2 linked regions of the Drosophila melanogaster genome follow. The protein of the gene in region 1 interacts with the protein of each later gene in a pairwise test. Each region holds a gene or a part of one and is shown on either strand. Other genes may lie near its edges.

Evidence for each region.
Region 2: the proteins of CG13501 (region 1) and CG43338 interact in a two-hybrid assay, tested with the Drosophila melanogaster proteins (one large-scale study listed by BioGRID).

What each region holds. Positions count from the first base shown.
Region 1 is NT_033778.4:22,058,093-22,062,531, forward strand, and holds CG13501 (uncharacterized protein), read right to left. Parts: upstream 2,619-4,439; 5' UTR 2,569-2,618; coding exon 2,472-2,568; intron 2,414-2,471; coding exon 2,167-2,413; intron 2,103-2,166; coding exon 2,020-2,102; intron 1,970-2,019; coding exon 1,820-1,969; intron 1,768-1,819; coding exon 1,103-1,767; 3' UTR 812-1,102; downstream 1-811. Other genes in the region: Snp (snipper), read left to right, coding at 3,467-3,489.
Region 2 is NT_033779.5:18,666,375-18,673,282, reverse strand, and holds CG43338 (uncharacterized protein), read left to right. Parts: upstream 1-2,036; 5' UTR 2,037-2,095; coding exon 2,096-2,251; intron 2,252-3,239; exon of another isoform or gene 3,240-3,316; coding exon of another isoform or gene 3,317-3,391; intron 3,392-3,719; coding exon 3,720-3,845; intron 3,846-3,917; coding exon 3,918-4,742; intron 4,743-4,803; coding exon 4,804-5,676; intron 5,677-5,734; exon of another isoform or gene 5,735-5,736; coding exon 5,737-6,318; 3' UTR 6,319-6,391; downstream 6,392-6,908. Other genes in the region: CG43339 (uncharacterized protein), read left to right, coding at 68-723, 783-943, 997-1,391, 1,493-1,501.

The DNA.
Region 1 (4,439 bases):
TGGTTTGAAGGCGCCAAATGGAGAAATGGCTGATGGCGAACGGCGGCGGGTGCTGGATGTGAAGTCTGGTAAACAAGTTTTGCATAATTTCCATAAAATATTTCATAAACAACTTGAAAAATGGAAAAAAAGCTATGCTATGCAGCTGGAGACTGAGGCGAGGGAAGTCCGAAAAGAAAGCAAGGCAAACTCGGAGCGGTAATTAAAAAGTTCACAAAAGAGTCGGGCACCAGGGACTTTGGAAAATTGCTACCAAGAAGAATTCCGCCGATGACAAGGCGTAAAACTTGCCGATTGAATGCGAAATGTGGCCCGGGCAGCCGGACGGACTCCTACCCATTGCCAATTCAAATAAATTAAAAAGGAACTGCGACTCGTTGCCAAGTTTGTCACCGCAGAAAAATAATACGGAAAAAATGCTCTCTATATACATATATAATACATATATATAGAAGATAGATATTAAAATATGTAGATGTGGAAAAACAGCGCAGTGGAGGCTTGAAAGGAACCGCAAACTGCGGTCGCTGTGGCTTCTCTGGTCAGTGGTCGTTACTTTTGCACTCTTGTTGTTATTTTTGCGGTGCTTGTCCTGCCAGCACCGCATCCTGGCATCCTTGCATACTTACATCCTTTTCGCCTTGCAGAGTGCCACTGCTCATTATTGTCGGCAATGTCCAGGCATCGGAAATTGGAAAAGTTTCCTGCCTTCGTGACAATCCACACTTTCGCTCACACGTTCTATGAATATTCAATGCAGTCATAGATTATATTCAATTGATATAATGACGTAAATAATAGTTGACAGGGTCAAGTACAGGATGAATTTATTTTTAAGAGATTTATAAATAAACATCAAACGAAATGCTCGAGAGTTGCTAAATATTTACTACAATTTACAATGTTTTGCTAAACAGCAAAGCTCTCTCTCTCCCTCTCTTTGCCATTTCTGCCCCTCTTTTAACCGTTTTCTCTTTGGGACATCAGCAGGGGTGCTTTTGAAACGGTTTGGATTTATCTGAGCGGTTGAAAGTGGGGAAAAGCGATGTTTTCCATGTAACAAACAATACGGTTCAAATGAATATAACTACAACCGTGAGATTTAACTACTATCGGCAATATCCCGACGCAACCAATCGACCAAAGCATCACGGGCGCATTCCGCATCAGCATCCAGGCAGAACAACTTGCAGATGTCCTGCAGCCAGTTGCCAATGATGTAGCGCTTAATGCACGGCATTACACCCAACTCCCGAAACACTTTAAGGCAATAAATTTGCAGGCGGGGATTATCCGTCGTCGAAGTCATGAGACGACCCACATAACACGGCAGTTGGGTGAACTCCCTGCTGCGCCACAATGCCCGCTTGCTATGGAGCCCATTGAGCAGGGCCAAAGCCGTATATTCCCAGTTCTCCACCTTCTGGCGAGGCAGCAACATTCGCGGATTCTCATCGGGCTGGGCAAAGACGTCGTAAAGCAGCTTTACACCATCCACGGCATCGAAACGCCGCTGACCCTCAGCACAGCAGAGTAGCAGCGCAAATGCCTTGGTGTTCATGTCCCAGAAGTTGGACAAGCGGTTTAGGATCCTCGAGTGCAGCAGCTCGAAGAGGCCCAGCTCGATGCCCCGATCGGGTGCCACTTCCAGCATGTCACACAGGTGATGCCACAAATGCAACGGGAATTGCGGACGGCATGGATCCTGTCTGAAGATCTCGGCTAAGGCGGAAAAGTTTTCAGGATCCTCCAGGAATATACCCAGAACTAGGAAAAAATATAACACCGTTAAATCCAATGAAGTGCATGCAGAGCTCACCTTTTGGCTTGCATGTCAAATTTCGCAATATCTCTGAAGCCAATTCATCCTTAATAGGCTCTTGGTTCTTAATGATTTTATAAAACTCCACCCTTAAGCACTTGCGGTTGGCTATATTTTCGGCTCCATCCAAATTGCGGGATAGTATATCTTTAAGAAATAAAAGCTTATTCTAAGAATTCACACAACCTTCAACTTACTATAAATCCTTAGATACATCTCCACCTCCCGGTGCTCCTCCTTGTGATGCTTCAATCTCATACGCATAAAGGCATTCTTCAACCTATTGGTAGGATAGAAACTGGATGATATCAAAAAAAAAAAACTCCTCAATGCAGACAACCCACTTTCTAACAAGGTCCATTTCAATGATAGCTCTTTGGGCATTCAGTGGATTTAGAACGAATTCCGACAACGATACGACTGCCTTCCAATGGGTCAGCCTAACATCACTATCCAGTTCTTTGAGCAATTTGGGCAGTGCAAACCAGCCGTAGGCCAGTTCAGCACGATCCGCCAGGTGCGTCGAGGTCGAATTGCAGCAGAGCGGCATACACTTGCAAATATTCCGTTTCTCCATATGATGCGTCCACTCTGTAATCCATTTTTTTTATGATTATCCTTCGCTGATTATATATCGCAACTAAATTACCCGTAGTCTGCAAGCTGTTTATGGAGGTCGGCTTCATCACATCCTTGATTTCGTGTTGCAGAAAGTGATTGCGATATCTCGCTAGCTGCTCCCACATTTTGGTTTAATGGTTTGTTGTTATTATAATGAGAAAATACAATACGTGTCAAATGCCAGAACTTTTTTCAAAAATCAACTTCTATTCTACGTTTCAACTTAACATTTCTGTTAGGAAAACTATGTTTCTGTACTGTAAAGCGCCATTGCGGCTGAGAACGTAACCCAATTGGTTGGAAGCTCAACTGCGTGTTGAATATTATGAAAAGGTTCGAAGCTCGGATGCAACAGCTGTTCGTCGCCTGAAATCGATATATCGCAATTTGGTTGATATATTTCGCCGATTCAATGCCGCTGCATTTGTGAACGGACGCCGAGCGAGTTACTACCGAATATTAGATGCGGACTGCAAGCGCAGCTATACGAGAATATACCGACAGGCACGCAAAATATGCAAATACCAGGAGTGCATCTCTATTGACCGGTCAAATACTCGGCTTGGCGGATAGTGCATTTGCAGTTGCAATTTCATCAATCGCCAAATGCACTTGACTGAAAGGCTGTACAAAAAAACAAAGAGAAAAAACCCAGTGTGCGTGCGGGAATATGTAAAAAAAAAACGAGTTAAATAAATAGCTAAATAACAAGCAGAAAGCAGAACGTAAGTATCGAAAAAGCGCAGTGTTTTTGTTGTGCCGGCTGAAATAAATTCGATTGTGTGCGCGCGCGTTTGTTTGTGTGTCGGCATGTGCGTGTGAGTGAGCAGACAACAAAAGGAATTCGGCTCGCTCAACTTCTTCCTAGTTTACCGTTACTTGCACTGCCAAAATCGCAAAAAATAAGGGGAATAGGGAGATAAATAAATAAGCCGACGAATTTCGAATAGCATAAATAGTAGCTCCTGCCAAAAAAAAAAAGAAGAAAAATCAGAGAAACGTCAGTCAAATCGAAAAACAGAAATGGCCTTGATAAAACTAGCAAGGTGAGTTTTTATTCTGTTTTCTCGCTAATATTACCTATAAAGTATGTGTATAGGAATTTTCCCGTTGAAAGTTGTAGTCCACCTTCTCTTTCTTTGCTTTTCCACTTAACAAACCGCAATTAAGTTGGCCAGGGGCGGAGTTTCCACCGAAAGGGGGTTTTTCCAGCACTTGCCCACGTAAATTGATTTTCTGTGGCCCCGTCATCCTGTCGTGCTGACCTGAACTGACCCCATTTTTCATTTCCATTTTCCGACAAAAGAACAAAGTCCGCAGCCTGAAAAATCCGGCCCTGGCCTTTTTTTTTTATTGTTGCCTCTTGGTCAACAGCAAAGCGCTTGAGGCCGTGTAATAACTTTCGGGCAAATATTTATTTCCCAGCAACGAGTTGTTGATATTGAAGTTGGTCAATGCACTTTGGCGCCCCTGAAACGCACTTCAAATATCGCTAAGTGTAATCAGGGACTCGGAAAAACGATGATAACAATAATTAAGCATATTGCAGAATCGTAGATATACATACAATTATATTTATGTATTTCAATTGTATGATAATATGATATACTTAATACCAGTACATTTACATTTACAAAAATAAACATCCTTGTGCTTAGATCCAAATTAATTTCGCATGAAATATTTTCGAAATCTTCATAATACCAGTTTCGCAACCAGATTAAACTACTTTTTAGAACACACAACGAACAATCGAATCTAATTTGAACAAGATCAATTCATAAACTTAAGAACACAGCGAACGTAGGATTATGATAATCTGAATTTCAAATGAACTGCTAATAATAGGAAAACTTACGTGAGGTCTGTGCAATTAATTCTGTTATTGTCTAACAACTAACAATGTATTTGTTTACCTTCTCGATTTCGTTTGTTGACTTTTCCAGCATGTACAACAACTAAACAAACTAGCTATCTGGCTATCGAATTTCCAACG
Region 2 (6,908 bases), on another chromosome or scaffold:
AAATCTGACATTTATATAAAAAAACATTTGAGTGGGGAAAAGCTAAATAAAAGCCCAACAAATTATAATGGATGTGTTAATGGAGGAAAAGGAATCGGATCCTTTTGCGATTCAGTTCCCCTTGCCGGATCAGCTCGATCCCTCCCAATGCCGTGATAAATTCCTTAGCACAATCATCGAGGATCACGAACGCCGTGTGAGTTCGATGCTGGCCGCATTATCCCTTCGGAGCAAATCCGTGGTTGATTATGCTGTGGAGACCGTGGATCGGGTGGTCGAAAATGGAGCAGAGGCTATGGTGGTGCGGCAGATGGCCAGGATGCGGAAGAGGGAGAGCGGAAGGAAGACCGTTCAGGAGGCCATAGAAAGCATTAAATTGCGTTCGTCCATGATGACCGAGTTGAATATCAAATGCCAGAAGGCGGCCATCGAGTTCCTATCCGTTCGCCTGCTGAAGCAACTGCGTCTGTTTTCCAGTCCTTGGCCCGGAAAGATCGACGAGATTCCCTACAATCTGTTCAAGTGGTCGCTGGATCACTTCCTGGCACGACTGGAACATAACCAGTTGTACCTGGACGTGATCCATCGCGAACGGAGTTCCGAGGATCTCGACTGCGTAAAGTTCCGAACTGATCTGAAAGAGATCGAACAAATTCTACACGAAATGCGAGAGGACTTTCAAAAGGATGACGACCTTTGCGAAAATAGCATACAACTAATACGGTATTGGCCCCATTTCCATCAAGAAGAACATTCTATATTGGAAACACTTATATTCTTAGAGATTGCAAGTACAACACGGTTGGTGCTTGGATTAAGGACCTCAAGGACAATTGCCGGATCAAGGAGGGAATGAGCAACAGTAGCCTGGCAGTGGAATCCAGCGTATCCAGTCTGGATATCAATCGAACTGCACTCGTAGACCTCTTCGAGGGCAGTAGTTGTGAGTTGTAAAATATTACAAAAATTTAATGTATCTTTTGTACATTTTCATAGTGACTGATCCGATACAGATGCGTTACCATATCAAGTGGGTAAACAGCTGTATGGATCAGAGACTAATGCTTAACTGTAAGCGCGAGGATCTGCTGAGGAAGGAGTTAATGGAACTGAAAACCAAGCTGGAACAGGACATGACGGTGCAGCGCAGCTCGGAGATGATATACTCCTGGGAAGTGGAAAAGCTTAAGACACGCAATAGGGAGTGGGAGGTCAAGCTGGAGCGGGATCTGGAAAGCGCCGAGGTGCAGTGCACGATCGCCAGGCTCGCACTGCAGAAGGTCAAGGACGATCACAAGCTCTGCTTGGAACAGGAGGAAATGTACCTTCGAAAAATAGCCGAGATCAAAAAGTTGATGGAAACGCAAACTAAAGCTCGTCAACAAAAACAGGTGGGCTATATAGATATTTCCCTTTACAAGCCTTTACAAATTAGTTAATCTTAAAGATGATATGTAATTGAAAATTAATATAAATTGTTTAATTTCGCTAGGCAAAATAAGCAACGGAAGTGAAATCACCATGTATAAGCGCCAGGAATCCAAAATGAAGCAGGCGAAATGCTGGAGCTCATCAAAATTCGACAACTATTATTTATGTTGGCAACCCAAACAAAATAATCAAAATCCCGAAATGCATGAACTTAACCCCAAAGGGTTGTTGCCTTCAAAGTCACTGTCAAAGGATCAGGCCATTAAGGGGGTTATTCCATCGGACGGGGAGTGGGCGCCAAGTTAGGGCAAACATTTACCATATTCATTATTTTTGGCGGAGACAAATGAAATTACAGGCAAACGGCTGCGGGGTAACTGCCCCTCCTACCACTCTACGGCTATTGCAGTTTAGAAAATCGAATTATGTGCACTTTAGTCACCGTAGTTACCCACCAGGAACCACACCCTCACCATCTAGTGTAGTATCGCCTCATGCATAGTTATTTTATGCGCCGTGGCAACCTGAAAGTTGCCGCATAACTTTGCCTCTTCTTGTTGCCTGGTCGGGTCGGGTGTATTATTTACGCTTAGAAAACATAGAGTAGAATTTTTCCAACGCCAGTCGGAGGCGGATCGAGTTCATCCGGATAAAATCCATTGGAATGCCACTTAATCCGCGACCCACGACCAATGGCAACACACCCGAGGACTGGCAGGTGTTCGAGGTCTTGTTCGGTGCTGATCAGGACCCGAAAACGATTCCCGCACGGATGACCACAATGTCACCTTTGCCACAACCAGCCATTCCATTTTGCCAGGTGAGTAGTTTTTGTCGCTTAACTATTTTGCCAAAATCGTGCGCCAAATTGCCATAAAAGCGTGTAGACATCATATCAAGATAGATTTATGTGAATTCGCAATTGAATAACGACTTTTGTTCGCTATTTTTTATGTTTCAAATGTATGCGGTTGTTAGGGGAACTAATGATGTTTGTGGGGGGATTTGCATAAAACTCGATTGGTCTGGGGGATACAGTGGTTCGTATTGCCATGTGGGTGGGGCTGCATAATCAAAATATACATATGAATGATTGTAAAGCTATTCATAAACACACAATAGGATAAAATGGAGCCATTGCATCTAATTTACTGAATTGAGGACTTGTGAAAGCCTAAGGAGCAAGCCCAAAATCAAGTTCAATGAAATATCTTTTAAATGTTTGAAACATTTCCCATTTCGCCCATTTCAATTTCATTAAAGAGGCAACCTGAATTGGCTTCATAATTAACCCGGCCAAGCTTATCGAATGTTCAACACATTTCAGTTCCCAATTGTCTTGCCGTTGCTCCTTCCTAAATTGCAGACAATTGGCCAAAAGTTGCACACCTCATTTTCCGTTTCCGGCCAAGTTGAAAATTTCCATCGTATATCCATCCACCTAGCCCCGGAGCACCCAAAACCCCAAACCCTGTGGCGTCCGCACTTGCGTGCGTGAGTCCGTTGTGGATATTGCATTTGATACTTCGCCACTTGGCGCCATGTGAATGACCCAAATAATCCAAACAAACTGCAAAGTTTCCCCCATGTGTAAGTGTAATCGTGGCTACACCTTTCGAGCTCCACACGGCTGCCCCCCTATCCAAAGCCCCTTGCTCCTGCCATTGAGCTCGTTTTCACTTGGAGCATAAATTTGAGCACTGTGTGATGTTATGTTGGGGTAAATTCCTCGGTGCCATGCATCGGACTCCCCTCAGTTGTTAGGTGGAGGTTGTTAGGCTTCCGAAAGTGGTTATTCCCGAACCAAAGTTCAGTTCTTCGACGGCTTTTACTGGGAACAGTTGACTTGGTTCTTGGAGTGCTTTAAATATTCGTGGCTCTAAATATGCCCAGTGAAAATCATCTGCATCACCATCACTTGGGACACACTGGTGGATTATCTCCGCATCATCATCACTTGGTGGGCATTGGGACAATGTTAATGCCATCACAGTTAAAAATTACATATTATAATTAAAAGTACAATTAAAATTTACAAAAAATAATGAAAGTCTGAATGGTTCAAAACCATTTTATCTTAAATTGTATAAATATAACTTTAATAACAGGAAAATGTGAAAATGGTACATTTATTTAATAGAGCCAATATATTCAAGAATGTAGAAAGTATACATTTTTTGAAAATGTTTTCTAAACTAGGAAATTAGATAAATTTATATGTAATTAATTAATAACTCCGCAAATCAAAACCTTTTGTGTGTTCTCCAAATTTAAATGCGATTATCCAGCTGGACACATCCTGCAGCAATACGGGAATCACTGTGACAGAACATCATCATGGTCTCGACTTGACCACCACACTGCGCAGTGAACTGGCTGCGTTGTCCTACAAAAAGGAGCGACTTACGGGGGAGGTAAATAAAAGAATCAATTTATTATAGAATCAAGTAATGCAAAGGATATACATATACTTACACTTATCCTAGCTTGCTGAAGCGCGTGCAGCATTGTGCAGCAAAGATGCGGATATCGAGAATCTGCGAGCCCAGGCTGCTCGGCAGACTGCCCTCATCGGATCCCTCCAGAGTCGTCTGCAAAACTCGGAGAGCAGGGAGCAGGCTGTCCAGGCCCGATGTGATTCCACCATTCAGACGGTGCAGCGGGAGAAGCGTAGCTCCGACGAGCGCAACAAAGAGCTAATCTGCAAGATACAGCATCTGGAAACGCATATGGCCAGTGAGGAATCGCAAAAGGAGCAGATCAAGGCTCAGCTGCACGATCTCCTGCGACGCCTTAGCATCACTTTGGGAATGGATGTGTGCGATGGCAATCAGAATTCCCATGCCACACCCGAGTGCATCATCTCGCGGGCCGAGGAGGTGATGGTGGAGCTGCAAAGGACGAAAGCCAAGGTCAGTTCCACCTGCGACACGCTCAGCTCCTGCGAAAATGAACTGCTCAACTTGAAGTCGCTGGCCAACATTGAGAAGCAGCGGCTCACGGCCCAACTTGATGGAGCTGGCAATCACAACCACGAGTTGGAAGGACGCTGTCGCCAATACGAAAGGGATCTTCAGATCCAAAGAGATCGCTTGACTGAATCGGAAATCAACGGCGAGAAGCTCAAGGAAGAGCTGCGCGGCTTTGAGTCGCGATGCCATCGTTTGCAAAACAACCTGGACCGGACTCAGGGCGATCGTCTGCAGTTCTTGCGGGGATTGAGCAATCTCTTGAATGTTCCCGAACCGTGCGAAACGCTCATCAAGGACAAGCTGAGAGAGATTCTGGCGGAGAACCAGGCCATGCATGCGGTAATCGAACTTATTAATTCATAATTCATTTAAACAATAAACCAATTTGTATACCCTCTAGCAAATGCACTCTCTGCGAGATCAGCTGAACTCGGAGCATGAGAAGCTTAAGGAAACCCAACAGACCACCGAATGTCGCCTCCGTTCTGGCGAGGCTCAGAAATGTGAGCTAACTGAGCGCTTGGAGAAGTGCCATGCCGAGATCCATACTCTTCGAAAGGATCACATGGGTCTATCGGAGTTCCTGCAGCGACTGGCCCTCGCGATGAACTGGGGTGAGTGCTCTGCCCCTCCGGCTCTTGGAACTGATACCAATCTAATGGCGGAGAACTTGCTTGAGAGAGCCGAGAGACTCGCCGCTCACTGCGACCACGAGGCACCTCATCATCATCATCATCATCACAGTCCGGATAAGGGTTGCTGTGATCACGGACATGGTCATGGGAAACTTCGCCGCGAGAGATCCTGTCATGACATTCCCCTCAAGGAAAGCAGCAGTGTCTACAACCTGCAGCGACGTGTTCGAGTTCTCAGGGAGCAAGTGCAGCGACGGGATCTCCACCTGGAGCTACTGCGTCGCAAGCTGGCCATCATAGAGGACGGTGCGCGAGGAAAGTGCATGTTGCAGGGTGAACGGGATGAGGCGGTTTGCCGGGCCAAGAAGGCGGCCAAGCAGGTGGACAAGTTGAGTGCCCAGCTGGCCGATGCCCGATCTCAGATAGCAGAGGTCAAGGCCCAGCTAGCCGAGGCTGTGGAGTATAAGATCACCTCGTTGGAGAGGGCCAGAAAGATCGATGAGCTGACCACACAGATATGCGATCTGGAGGATGAGAAGACGCGCCTGCTCTCCCAACTTAATGCCCTGAAGGAGCGCCTCAAGTCCTCCTGTGAATCCAATCAGAATCGCAGATGCCGCGATGAGGCGCTAATAAATGTAAATAAAAGTATAGTTTATGTAAAAATTCACATACTAAATCTTTCTTGAAATTTTTAGTCTATGCGCGATGATGTCAGTCGCTTGAGCTCCCAACTCTCGGATGCCAATCAGCGGCTTTCGCATTTGCAATCCTTCCGCACATCGGTGGCCAGGACACTGCATCTTCGCGACCTGCCGGAAACGGATCTTCTGCATCGCCTGCAGGCCCTGTGCTCGGCACATCAGGAGTTCACAATGCTTTCGAAACGCTATGAGACAGCTTCGCCAGTTGGAGATCATCCGTGTCCTCGGTTCGATGATCCCATACCGCCATCCAGCCACTGTCGCCCGCCAAGGGAGCTCAGTCCTCCGCCAACTTCCTTCCACCATAAGGCGACCATCCATTCAGGCAGCAGCCATCACTCACCACCGTCTGAGCATCATCATGGTTCCAGCAGCCATGTGCACAATCACCACGGACATGGACACGGACACGGTCACTCATCGCATTCCAGGCGGCAGCGAAGTAAAAGCCGGGACAAACGACTCCACGATGAGTGCTTCGACACGGATGTGCATCGACTGCACCATGGCTGCAAGGAGGAGCTACTGGCCACCGGATCGGAGGATGACTATGACTTCAAGAGCAAATACTGCTAGAGTACTAAACTTTTTCTTTGCATTTGTATTTTTTCAAAATAACTCAGAATAATATATGGTTTCTACATTTCGGAAAATCTAAGTTTTTTGTGGCAGATTGATTATTCTGGTTGATCATCACGTATTTCGGGAGGATAAGGATAAGAAGGAAAGGACTGGTCTTCATCGCAGTCCCTACTGGTGGCACAAGTCCAACAGCATTCCGGAAATTTTAGCAACAAGTCCATGGCCTTATCGTCCTGGCAGCCACTGCTCGGCAAAGTGCGAGGACAGCTGGAAAATAGCTTGGATATCATATGCATTAGGGTATATCATTTCAAATTGGATCGATCTTACTAGTAGACATGAGTAAGTCCTTCGGAGTTCATGCAAACCTGCACGCCGCAAGTGTTTGGATCACTGACTTCCTCGCCGGGTTGTAGGGCAAAAACATCGTATTGCTTCTTTTTACCCACTCGAACATGGATGGGGTAACACTGGCCGGGGTACTCTACCAAAGCGTTTTAATGAGACTTTATTATTCTTACATATAAAGTTTTCTCAACGCATTACTCTCATTGTGCAGTATCTTCACAAAAACCATGGACTTC